Caenorhabditis elegans: one gene and its partner. The protein of the gene in region 1 interacts with the protein of each later gene in a biochemical or structural test. Each region holds a gene or a part of one and is shown in the gene's direction. Other genes may lie near its edges.

Region 1 (5,523 bases):
TAGAGGCTCCGAAAAGACCACCAGTGGCTGGAGCGGACGAAGGAGCAGATGTTGGTGCTCCGAACAATCCTGATGTGGCAGTTGTAGTTGCAGCGGTGGTTGCAGGAGCGGTAGAACCAAAAAGACCTCCCGATGGAGCTGCAGGCTTTGGAGCTGCGCCGAATAGTCCACCAGATGAAGCTGTCGCAGCAGGTGCTGAATTTCCGAATAATCCAGAGGTTGGAGCAGCATTGCTAGTAGCTGGTGCAGCCCCGAACAAACCACCAGAAGGAGCTGGGGCTGTGGAAGTTGGAGCAGCTGAAGATCCGAATAAGCCGCCGGATGGAGCCGCTGTAGAGGTGGAAGTGCTTCCAAATAGTCCTCCTGGTGCTGCTGGAGCGGCCGTGGATCCGAATAATCCACTTGATGGCGCAGCAGTTGAGCTACCGAAAAGCCCGCCAGTTGGTGCAGTTGTTGCGGTACTTGTGGATGATCCGAACAAGCCGCCAGTTGGAGCAGCTGGTTTATTAGCTCCGAACATGCCAGCACCAGCTGATGGTGCGCTTGCGCCAAACGTTACTGTAGCAGGTGCTGCTGAATTTGCAGAACTTCCAAAAATGCTCGTTGAAGCGGGAGCTGGCGCCGCGGCACCAGAATTTCCAAAGATTCCAGCAGACGCTGGGGCTGGAGCTGCAGCAGAGGAGCCTCCAAACATTGAGCCTGAAAAATTTAAAATTATACTTTTTGAATACGGGAGCGTATTTTACAAGTTTATTAAACCAAAAACCTACCAGTAGCTGTGCTGTTTCCGAAAAGTCCAGTACTTCCAGTGCTCGGCTGTGCGGATCCAAAAGAAAAACCTCCGGTAGTATTCGTGTTTCCGCCTAAAAACGAAAAAAATAAATTAGTTGAATTTTTCATCGATCGATACCTGTGTTCGCTGTTGATGTGCTCGAATTACCGAAAGAAAATCCAGATGAGGCTGTTGTGGTAGCAGCGGTTCCTCCGAAAATCGACGGTTTTGGTGCAGATCCTCCAAACATTTGATCTGGAATGATATTTTTAATATTTTTAAAGGGCAGCAATATTATTTGACAAAAAGAAAACGACAGAGAGGCAGAAAATAGTCATTTGAGTGCACAAATGAGCGCGTCGAGATTCGAAAAATGATTTGGTGGTCGCGCGAAAATGATGGCCTAAAAACACCGCAGACTAGGCCGGCGGCTGGGAGGAGCACGCGACGTCGGCGTGAAGGAGAAAAATCGAAGATAATTTCATGTGCTGCAGTTAGTTTGAAAATATAAATATTTTTGGGCCCGAATGTCTTTGTGGTTTCTATTGCTATTCTAACTTCTCGATTACAACTTATAATATTGATCCATTTTTTATACTGATATTTTAAAAAAGTTATGAAATGTGAAGAAAGATCTCGATCATCGAAACGATGAGCAAGCTTCTGAATATGCAAAGTTTTCTATCACAAAGGGGTAAAAACGCGGGAGAACCTTTTTTTCCTGCTGACCAAGTACTTTTCACGAAGAAATACTTTAATTTTTGATGAAAATAAAAAAGAAAACTATATACAAACTCAAAAATCTAACAACTCTCAGCGATCCACGCAAATTAGGAAATTGAAAACAAAAAGAGAAATTTGTGTACCGTAGTCCGAACACTTAAAGGCGCATGCCTCACCTTCAGGGTCTCGCCACGATCCACTTCCCAAGGGTTTTATTTTTATTTTTTTAGATTGTTTTTTTTCGCGAAATCAGTTATTTTTTCGGTGAAAAAGTATATTTTATTGCTTTTAAAGTCAAATAACTTTTATTAAAATATAGTTTTAAATTATTTTGACGTTATATGAGTGAAACATTCAAAGTCCACGTGCTCTAAAGTCTGATTTTAAAAAAAAGTTTTTTTTTATTGCTTCGCCAGTGAATTCGCTGACACGTAAAAATAATCAATATTTTTAATAGTTCAATTTCCTCATTGTTGAATTATTTAATCCACGATGCATTGCACCGAGTCCGTGAGAGCTCTTTATCTGCGGCAACACTCTCGCATCGAAAACAGAGAGAGAGAGAAGCAAATCTATATCCTCCCGTTCTCTCTCATCTCCTTCACTTTCTCCTAGTGTCCACTGTCATCATTTTTGCCTCCCATCACTGCTTTTTGTCCTCTCGTTCGCTTATTTTGATATGGTCATCAGCAGCATAATCGGGGGGTCGGAAAATAATCAATATATTTTATTTTCTTTTACGAATCCTCTTTTTCTTAGATGAAATGCTCCTATTTTATCAAGCTACCGATTTCAGTTCGACTAATGGAATGATTGTCGATTTAATACAATCAGCTCGACAGGGTGAATGGGCCCAAGTACGCCAGCTGCTGCTCAAGCACTGGCTTGTACAGGTCCCAGAGGTGTTCGAAGTGAATTCGGATTTGCCATGGGACAATACAGCCGCGAATGAACGAATTCTAGGTGGGTTTTTTTGAAAAAAAAAACATATATATTAAAAAGCCAATTTTGCTTCAGGTTCCCAAGGAGAGATTCTCCTAGCCCCACTGGTCAGTGCATTTGTACTAGACGTTCGGAACACAAAGAGCACACTGGAAGCAATGAATGGCATTGCCGGAGTTGATCCTGCAAGACGGGGACAAATTTGTGGCCATGTATTTAAAAACGGAGAACTTACGTATACATGTCTGGATTGTGCCACTGATGGGACATGTGTCATGTGTCTTCAGTGTTTTGAAGTTTCAATTCATAAATCTCATAAATACAAAGTGAGGATGCCTCAAAATGAATCAATTTCCACAGAAAATTTCTGAAAAAAAACATTCAGATTTTAGCCGAAACTTGCCCTTTTTCTCGAAATTTTAAACCAACATAGACAAAATCTTGAAAAGTTTTTGATTATTTTGAGCGAATATGAATGATAAAACACGCATATTTAAGTAAATCCAATTTATAATTGAAAAAAAATTTCCAGATGCACTCTTCCTCCGGTTCGGGATATTGTGACTGTGGTGATGCAGATGCATGGACAGAAGGTTACGCATGTGCAAATCACGAGAAAAAGGACGATGAAGAGGCGGCAGTGTTGGCTCCAGAATTGAAAAAACGATGTGAACAGCTGGTGGAAATCATTTTACAGTTTTCCCTTTCAATGATCACTCATAAAGATGATCTCAAACTTCCCGAAATTTTCGAGAAAATGAAGCCAGAGGTTACAAATGAGGCACAGCAATATTTGACGGTTCTTTACAATGATGAAACTCACACTTATGAATCTGTTAGTAATTAATATTCCGAATTTCAATTAAATCTTCAATTTCCCCGTTTTTTCCAGGTGATCAAAGTTCTGGAATTGTACATACATTGTACAAAGGATCAGGCGATGCTTGTAGCCACAATTGTCGATCGAGAAGGTCGAAGTGCTGTGAAACTTGGCAGTAAGGCTGATTGCACCAAAGCTAAGGATGATGTTCAGAGAAAAACAGCTCGAGATCCAACGTCAATTCGAAGATCATCGAATCATAATCTACCGTTAAGTGTTAAGGTTATGGATACCACGCTTTTCGCGCTTCAGAATTTTTCGATCTCCCTTCTTACTTGGCTCAACACACAGATGGATGTTTTTCGTTAGTTTTTATTTCTTTTTATTTCTTTTCATTATTCGAAATCGTGTTTTTATTTTCAGCTCCCCTTCGCGAAATTGTTGGAGAAATTCTGCTGAGTTCAAAGTTTGCACTGAAAAAGAATTACACGCGGAAAATGAAGTCAGAGGATCAACGTCTAGTTGCCGGAATTATCAGAAATGTTATGGTTTTGCCGGATGATGAAGAGGAAGAACTATTCGCACTTGATGGAAGAATGGATGTTGATGAAATGGATGACGACGATATTGGTGGAGAAGCTCTGCAAATGGAAATTGACGCGGATGATGAAGAAGAGATAACAGCAGCGTTGGCAGGAGTTTCAGAACATCAAGAATCTCCAGGTCCTTCACGAGATTCTTCAACATTCACAATGCTAGAGAATATTCTTCTCCAGGATACACAAATGTGGAAAGCTGGAAGATCGATTTTGCATCAAATGCTCATGCGGACAGTTTTCATGATTTATGATCAGAAAGTTCGATTTGCAAAGGCTTTTATGCTACATTATAATGAAATTTACGAGGATTTCATTAAAGATGATCATGAGATGGATGTTTCAGTTGTTGGGTTATCAGTTCAATTCATGACTGTTCCTAGTCTGGCTCGGAAACTTGTCGCCGAAGATCAAGCATTCAGTGTGATATCGAAAGCGATTCGGGATCAGACTGATAAATTTGTGAAGTGTGAGTTTTGAAAATATCAAACCAGACGTGGGCGGAAATTTTGATTTTTGGCAAGTTTCCGGAAGTTGTTAGACGGAAACACTTAAAACTGGGATTCTTTTTTGAAATTTTTTCTTATTTTCTTCAGCTATTTTTATAAAATTTGCTTACTTTTCAAAATAGATGTGAGAACATTTATACGATGCGTACAATTTTGCCGATTGAAATTGAAATTCTCAAATTTTCAAAAAAGAAATGTGCAAAACCACAATTTGCCGAAAAAACGAAAACTTCGGCAATTTCCGTTTTGCCGGAAATATAGAAATAAAGCCGCCCTCCCCTGTATCAAACCAATATTTGAATTTCTCTAATTTTCAGATTACAATGACGGAAAAATCGCGAGATTTGATTTCACAAGTCGCTCATTTCCACCAGAATTAAGAAGATCCCTTCATATCACTCGAGATATGGCCTATATCCTGAATGCTGTGCCATCGGAAAGCGACTGGAATCGAGAACTTATCGATGGATTTGTTCAAGGATTCGCTGATTTTCTGCTTTTCCTGCAGCATCTGCAAGGAATGGATGAGGTGAAACGACAAGCCGTTGAGCATCAAGTGTGGGAATCTGAGTGGGAAACAGCGTTCAATATCCTTTTACGATTGAAAGACGCGATTTCGATGATTATTGGATGGGCAGAAACTAATGTGAGTTTTCCTGAAGTAATTAAAAATCTCAAAATAATTGGATTTTCAGGAAGAAGTTCATAATCGTCTAATGATAATGTGCCTTGAATTGATGAATCGTATGCCACCTGTCTATACAAAATCCGAGGAGGATACCTATGAATTGACGGTCACTATCAACGGAGAATCATGTCGAATATCACATTTTGACGTGCTTAAATCATCCACCTCGGTCCATCAGCCGGTTGTTCGAATTATCGCGGGTCTCTTTAGTGCTTCGAATTACACGGGATTTTTGTTGAATAGAAGTAATAATTCACATACGAGTTTGAATCAAGAAAGAATCAAAGAACTTATCAACTGTAAGGACGAGACGAATCTCTACGAACTGAGTCTCCGAGTGCTCGTCCTGTGTGCACAATCCAACGCGACACTTTGGAGAAGAAATGGATTTTCGCTGATAAACCAGATTCATAATTATTTCTCTCCACTCTGTCGAAATGAGATGTTCGATCGTGATGTTCTGATGATGCAAG
Region 2 (6,062 bases), 4.6 Mb from region 1:
CGCAGCGCATATGGTTCACTTTTTGAAAATTTTATTCTGAGCTTGATTTTCTCCATTTCAAACATGTTTTATTTAATTGAATTTAAGATTTATTTGTGTTTTCATTGTGAAATATTTATCCGAAAGTCTCACCAAGACATTTCTCGATATCTACTGCCATAAAACCCATCCAGCATTCCTGTCTGTCCGATCACATCTCGGAGCGCTTTTCTGTTGAAAAAACCTTGGCATTGAAAAATAGCGTGTGAGATGAAGAAATACAAAGAAAACAAGAATAGAGAGGAAACGGGGCACAAACGAAGAGACAAGAAAATGATGTGTGCAAGGCGTTTGTGTTTCGGTTTCAACACTATTTAAAATATTCGTTTTTCTTTTGGTTTCTGGGTTTTGAAACCAGTATTTAATTATAACTTAAATTTTTCAAAAGCTAGAAAATCATTGATAAAAGCTTTTTTTTTAATTTTTAAGTTATTTTCGATTCCGCAGAAAATCTTTTGCACTATGAAATCAAAAAGATACCAATCATCAAAAACCTCTGAATCTCATCTCTTTCCCGTCGAAAAAATAACATAAAACATTCGTTGCCACCAGATATCCACCAACTGTTGATTATATCAGATCATCTCATTTTTATCTCCATTCCATCACTTCAAAGCCTCTTTGCAACGAAGGTGAGAAAGAAATTGAAAATTCTGCTTCTCTTCATCTCTTCTCACCGTTCTTATCTGCTTGTCAGTTCTTTTTTTGCGGCGGTTAAATATCATTCAATTTTCAATTCATTTTCTTATTCGACAATTCTCTCCTCTGCACCTAAGATCACCTGCATCACGTTTAATCCAATATGGGTGGTTTAATCAAGTCTTATAGAAAGAAATATGAATAGCTGGAAATTGATATTTCTTTTTTTCTAACTTGGAAACAACCTGATAATACATTAGTTCAAATCGAAATTTGGACTTTTGGAATAATTTGGAAAAACCAAATGCAGATGTAGAGGTGAAATAAAATTACTGTTCCAAAAAAAAAAAAAATACTGTTCCATGCTCATTTCTTTTTCCAATTTCTTTTCCATCTCCTATTGATACTGAATAAGTGATTCCTTTTTTCCGATATATCGCCCTCCGGCGCCCTGCTCCCCTTGTATAATTTCTCTTTATCTCTACCACTCTCCCCACTTTCAATGATCACTTTTTGTCCTGGCGCCTGACCCTTCGTCCATCCGATGCCGTCCATTTTTCATCTCTTTTTCTCTGCATTTCTCCATTTTTATCATACTATTTCCGTTCATTTTTCTTTTAGTATGGTGTAGAAATAGTTGTTCACGGTGGTTCAGTTGCTAGATGGGTGCAAACGCGCTCCACCGAACAAACATGCATAACTTGGCAGGGAAGTACAAAATCAAACATTCATCACAAATAAAGATAGATAATTTCATTGCGGTCATTTCTTATATGCATCGCAAAATCGACTTTGTGACGGTTTTCGAGATAGTAGCCAATATATGTTTCCAGACTGAGTATCATGAACAAACCCATCTAGTTTCTGTGCTACCGGGTGTTGATGGACGCTACTGCAAGCGCGCTGTGTTGAGGACAATAGATGATTGGCGCGGTGCCAACATCATCCGTTTGTTCAGTTTTGACATTTTCCAATCTTGCTTCTATTTGAATTTATAGTTTCTTTCTATAATTTTAATTTCATCATCGGAAGTTCAGCAATGCTTTTAATTAAAAATCTCACAATTAAGTACTGAACTACATATATGTATATTACTTTATTTAAATACGTGACGATTCTCAAAAAAAAATTTTAAAAATCTTTTTCAGGATGTCGACGGTAGTATCGGAGGGAAGGAATGATGGGAATAACCGATATTCACCACAAGATGAAGTTGAAGATAGGCTGCCAGATGTAGTTGACAATAGGCTTACTGAGAACATGAGAGTTCCTTCCTTCGAGAGGCTCCCGGTAAGTTTTTAGTTTTTTGTTTAGAATTATAAAATTATCTAATTTCCGAAAATTTTTCGTTTAAGCCAAGTTTTAATTCTCAATTTTTAAGCATAGTTAATTATAAAACATTTTCGCAAATGACTCTAAAATTAACTTTGACAATTCAATCAAACCTTACTGAATCTATCGAAACCCAGAAACAGTTTTATTTTGGTTTCTGGTGTTCCAATTTTTAGATTTTCAGAAATTTTCGGTAAATATTTTTGTAACAGTTTTTAGTTGAAGACTCCAAATATTTTTTTTGATATTTCGAAAATGTCAGTTAAGGATTTGGTACATTTCCTAAAATTTTGATCTTATTGAGAAATTTCTAGCATTGTTACACTTTTTATGATGATAATCGACCATTTAAGCATAGTACAGATAGTTTCAAACAATTTTGGAATTACTCTGACTTTGAAATTTTTTTTTTAATTGTAGAAACTTGTTTTCTTAGAATTACGCATTCTTACAAAAGATATAGAATGTTCATAAGATGTTTGAGTCGATTTCCCATTAACTGCAGGTGCATTTCATTCTTCCATCATCCGTAAATCATTATTTGGTATACGGTATCTCTCTCCTTTCTAACACTTCCGCGCGGAATAAAAACAGAGATTCAGAGAAATAGAGAGAGGTCAGCTGAGAAGAAGAAGTGTCGCGCACACAGCTCCTCGCCCAATGCCCTCCTGTCGGTTTCTCTGTGAACACTCCACATTTCAAATGATCTCTAATTCAGTTCCTCCACCGCTCACTCATCCTTTCCTCGAATCTCTGGGTTTCCTCGCCACTCTTTTTTTCTCTGTGCTCTCTCTCACCCATTACTATTATTATTTGTATGTGTGGTATTGTTGTTCTGTATATTTGATAGGTTGTATTCTCTAGTTAACACATAGTTCTAATTAGAACAATGATTGAAGCCGCTTTGGAGAATCCGGTGCCCATCAAATCTCAATTGGTATGTAACTAATTGAAATTGCAACTGAAAAAATATCACTGTTTATTTATTGATTCGATTGTAAATAGTCTCGAATTTCCAGTGACGATTCGGGGTAAAACCGGAAAAAAAGTAATTTATAAATAAAAGTCGGAGCGACGAGAAGAGCTTTAATTAAAAATATCTTAACGGTTTAGCAATTTAAAAAAAATATTTAGTTACCTAAATACTTTGAGAGTGGATTATTTATGGTGTTAAAATGAGGAAATATTACTGAAAACTCAGTAAATTAAAAAATTTATATAAAGAAGATGTCAATTAATAACTGCGTCATAATGCCTTTCAAATAATTTAATTTTTTCAGTCACCAACACCTCGATACTTTGGCTCATGCAAATGGTTTAATGTGTCGAAAGGATATGGTTTTGTGATCGATGACATCACCGGTGAAGATCTATTCGTTCATCAGTCTAATCTCAATATGCAAGGATTTCGGAGTCTTGATGAAGGAGAACGTGTATCATACTACATTCAAGAGCGATCGAATGGAAAAGGTAGAGAAGCTTATGCGGTTCGTTTTATTTTTATTTTTTCTAACAGCAAAAGTTAAAAAAAAGGTCAGCGTTCTTTAAATTTGTTTTTTCATCAAAAAAACCTGACAAAAATCAAGCATAATTCATAAAAGCTTTTCCTATTCTGTCAATTAGAAAGTATATTAGTTCTTACGAATTCTCTTTAATCTTTGTCAGTATTTTTGAAAAATAATATTTAAAAACTAAAAAAAAACGCTGCTTTAACCTATATTTTGAATGCGAGAGAAACTTTGCTTATGGTATTTTTGCGCAATTTATTGAGATACGGGAATCCGAAATTCTGAGAATGCGTATTGCACAACATATTTGACGCGCAAAATATCTCGTAGCGACAACTACAGTAATCATTTTAATGACTATTGTAGCTGTGTCGATTTAGGGGCAAAAAAAACACGAAGAATAAAAAAGAAATATCGCTGTCACTATTCGAAAAGAATTTCATTCGAGATCGTAAATCGGCACTAGCGCTAATTACAGTAGTATTAAAAAAATTACTGTAGTTTTCGCTACAGGATATGTTGTCAATGCGCATTCTCAGTTTTTTGTTCCAGTGCAATATTAAAGCAAAATAATAATGTAAATTGAAAATCCAACTCAATTTTATACAGTTTTCAGGTATCAGGAGAAGTAGAAGGACAAGGACTGAAAGGAAGCCGAATTCATCCATTGGGTCGTAAGAAGGCTGTCTCACTACGTTGCTTCAGATGTGGAAAGTTTGCGACTCACAAGGCGAAAAGTTGTCCAAACGTAAAAACCGATGCAAAAGTGTGTTATACCTGTGGATCCGAGGAGCACGTGAGCTCAATCTGTCCTGAAAGACGACGAAAGCATCGACCGGAACAAGTTGCCGCAGAGGAAGCAGAAGCTGCGAGAATGGCAGCTGAAAAATCATCACCGACTACATCTGACGATGATATTAGAGAAAAGAATAGTAATTCCTCTGATGAATAGAATCATCTAGACACTGAGAATATTGATAGAGAAATAATGGAATATATGGTCTCAAATAGATTTTGTCTCGAAATTCTTGAACATCCAAATTTAAATGTGAAAATTTTAGGAAATAATTTTGAGCTTTCTGATAGTTTTTCAGCTTTTGAAATGTATTTTATTTTGAAACCAATATTTATTTCATTTTCTGTCTCATCTAATTCTCAGTTTGCATGCGTTACTTTAACTTACACACTAACTCTTTTTTTATTCAAATTTTGATGTTTTTTTTTCAATTGTTTTACTCAAATTTCCCCTCTAAACCATACTACCACCTACCTCCTCAAATTGCACTCTCAGGGATTCTTTTTTTTTTCAAATAGAACTGATTGCACCTGTTTTCAGGATCTATAAATCTTATAATATATTTAACTTTCGTGTCTTTTCATGTTCATGTATTTCTTGCTGAAATCCATCATTTTCTCTGAAAATCTCTACTCGTAAGTTCCGCTATTGCGGGCGAACGCTGAAATAAATCGAGAGTTTTGTTTTTATATTGATTGAATACATATTTATCACAGAATCATGCAATTTAACAATCCTCAACAAGTTGGCGGGATTTGGCAAGAATTGATTGTTGGGTGGATACAAGGTCGAGAATCGTCTGAAAAATGGATTTGAAATTAAATTCCTGAGATTTTCAATACCTGAATAGAATTTCTATAAATTTTTCGAGCGTCCTTTGCAGCAGCCGGCTCAAGAACCCCAAACGGACGGAATTGTCCAGAAAATGTTTTTTTGGCTTCTTCAACGTCTTCTGATTCTCCGCTATTCTTCTTTTCTGATTTATTCTCGTCCTTCTGCAAAAAATTTAAATGTAAATTTTTGTGGAACAAAAAACGATTGCAAAAAACCTTTTTCTTATTCTTTTTGTCGTTTTTCTCTTCCTCATTCTCTGAATTTTTGAGAAGTACAAATTTCCCGTTTTTCGTATCCAATCTAAAAATGAATACACTTAAGTAAGTATAATTCAAAAAAAAGTAGTTTATACCTGATAGATGGCTCCAAATCGTGTGTATCGACAGAATTAACACTGAAAAGACCAATTCCGTGCGTTGTTCTGAACAATTTCTCGATAAAGATTCATTTTACGAAACGAATAAAACTTACTTTGCTTTAGAAATACACAAACTTGCCAAGTTCAAGTCTTTTCGAAGTTGATCGTGAAGGGTGATGAATTTGTCGATTAATTCCATTTTTTCGAGGTATAAATCATTTTTCTGATTTATTGATTGCGCAGGCATCACTGGAAATATACGCTTTTATTGTAAAGCAGTAAGGAAAAAGAGAAAATGATTGAAAAAAGCAGAGAACGATCAAAAATTGGTTGAAACAGCAAGTGCGCCCTATTGCACAATGCTAATGAAAACCGAGGGAATTCAAATTAGAAATGTCGATGGGTCACACAACATTTTGTCCTAGAGTATTTAATTTAAATAATCGGAAATTTCTGAACAATCTTGGAAAAGTTGAAGCTAACAATAAAATGTATATAAATCCAGTATTTAAATTAATTTTTTTCTATAAAAACCCAAGGTCGGAGAGATTACGTG

Evidence for each region.
Region 2: of the proteins of ubr-1 (region 1) and lin-28, one has a biochemical effect on the other in vitro, tested with the Caenorhabditis elegans proteins (one study listed by BioGRID).

Annotation. Positions count from the first base shown.
Region 1 is NC_003279.8:3,813,578-3,819,100, reverse strand, and holds the start of ubr-1 (E3 ubiquitin-protein ligase ubr-1), read left to right. Parts: upstream 1-2,291; 5' UTR 2,292-2,304; coding exon 2,305-2,458; intron 2,459-2,512; coding exon 2,513-2,763; intron 2,764-2,969; coding exon 2,970-3,272; intron 3,273-3,329; coding exon 3,330-3,621; intron 3,622-3,680; coding exon 3,681-4,322; intron 4,323-4,679; coding exon 4,680-5,008; intron 5,009-5,057; coding exon 5,058-5,523. Other genes in the region: npp-11 (Nsp1_C domain-containing protein), read right to left, coding at 1-699, 771-863, 911-1,022. UniProt on the Caenorhabditis elegans protein: E3 ubiquitin-protein ligase which is a component of the N-end rule pathway. Recognizes and binds to proteins bearing specific N-terminal residues that are destabilizing according to the N-end rule, leading to their ubiquitination and subsequent degradation.
Region 2 is NC_003279.8:8,406,569-8,412,630, reverse strand, and holds lin-28 (Protein lin-28), read left to right. Parts: upstream 1-1,826; 5' UTR 1,827-1,827; coding exon 1,828-1,968; intron 1,969-2,710; exon of another isoform or gene 2,711-2,899; coding exon of another isoform or gene 2,900-2,947; intron 2,948-3,290; coding exon 3,291-3,497; intron 3,498-4,134; coding exon 4,135-4,470; 3' UTR 4,471-4,999; downstream 5,000-6,062. Other genes in the region: F02E9.1 (Vacuolar ATPase assembly protein VMA22), read right to left, coding at 5,042-5,113, 5,157-5,309, 5,364-5,448, 5,501-5,569, 5,620-5,705. UniProt on the Caenorhabditis elegans protein: Heterochronic protein which controls the choice of stage specific cell fates. Regulates the timing of the second larval stage events (L2 events) in the hypodermis.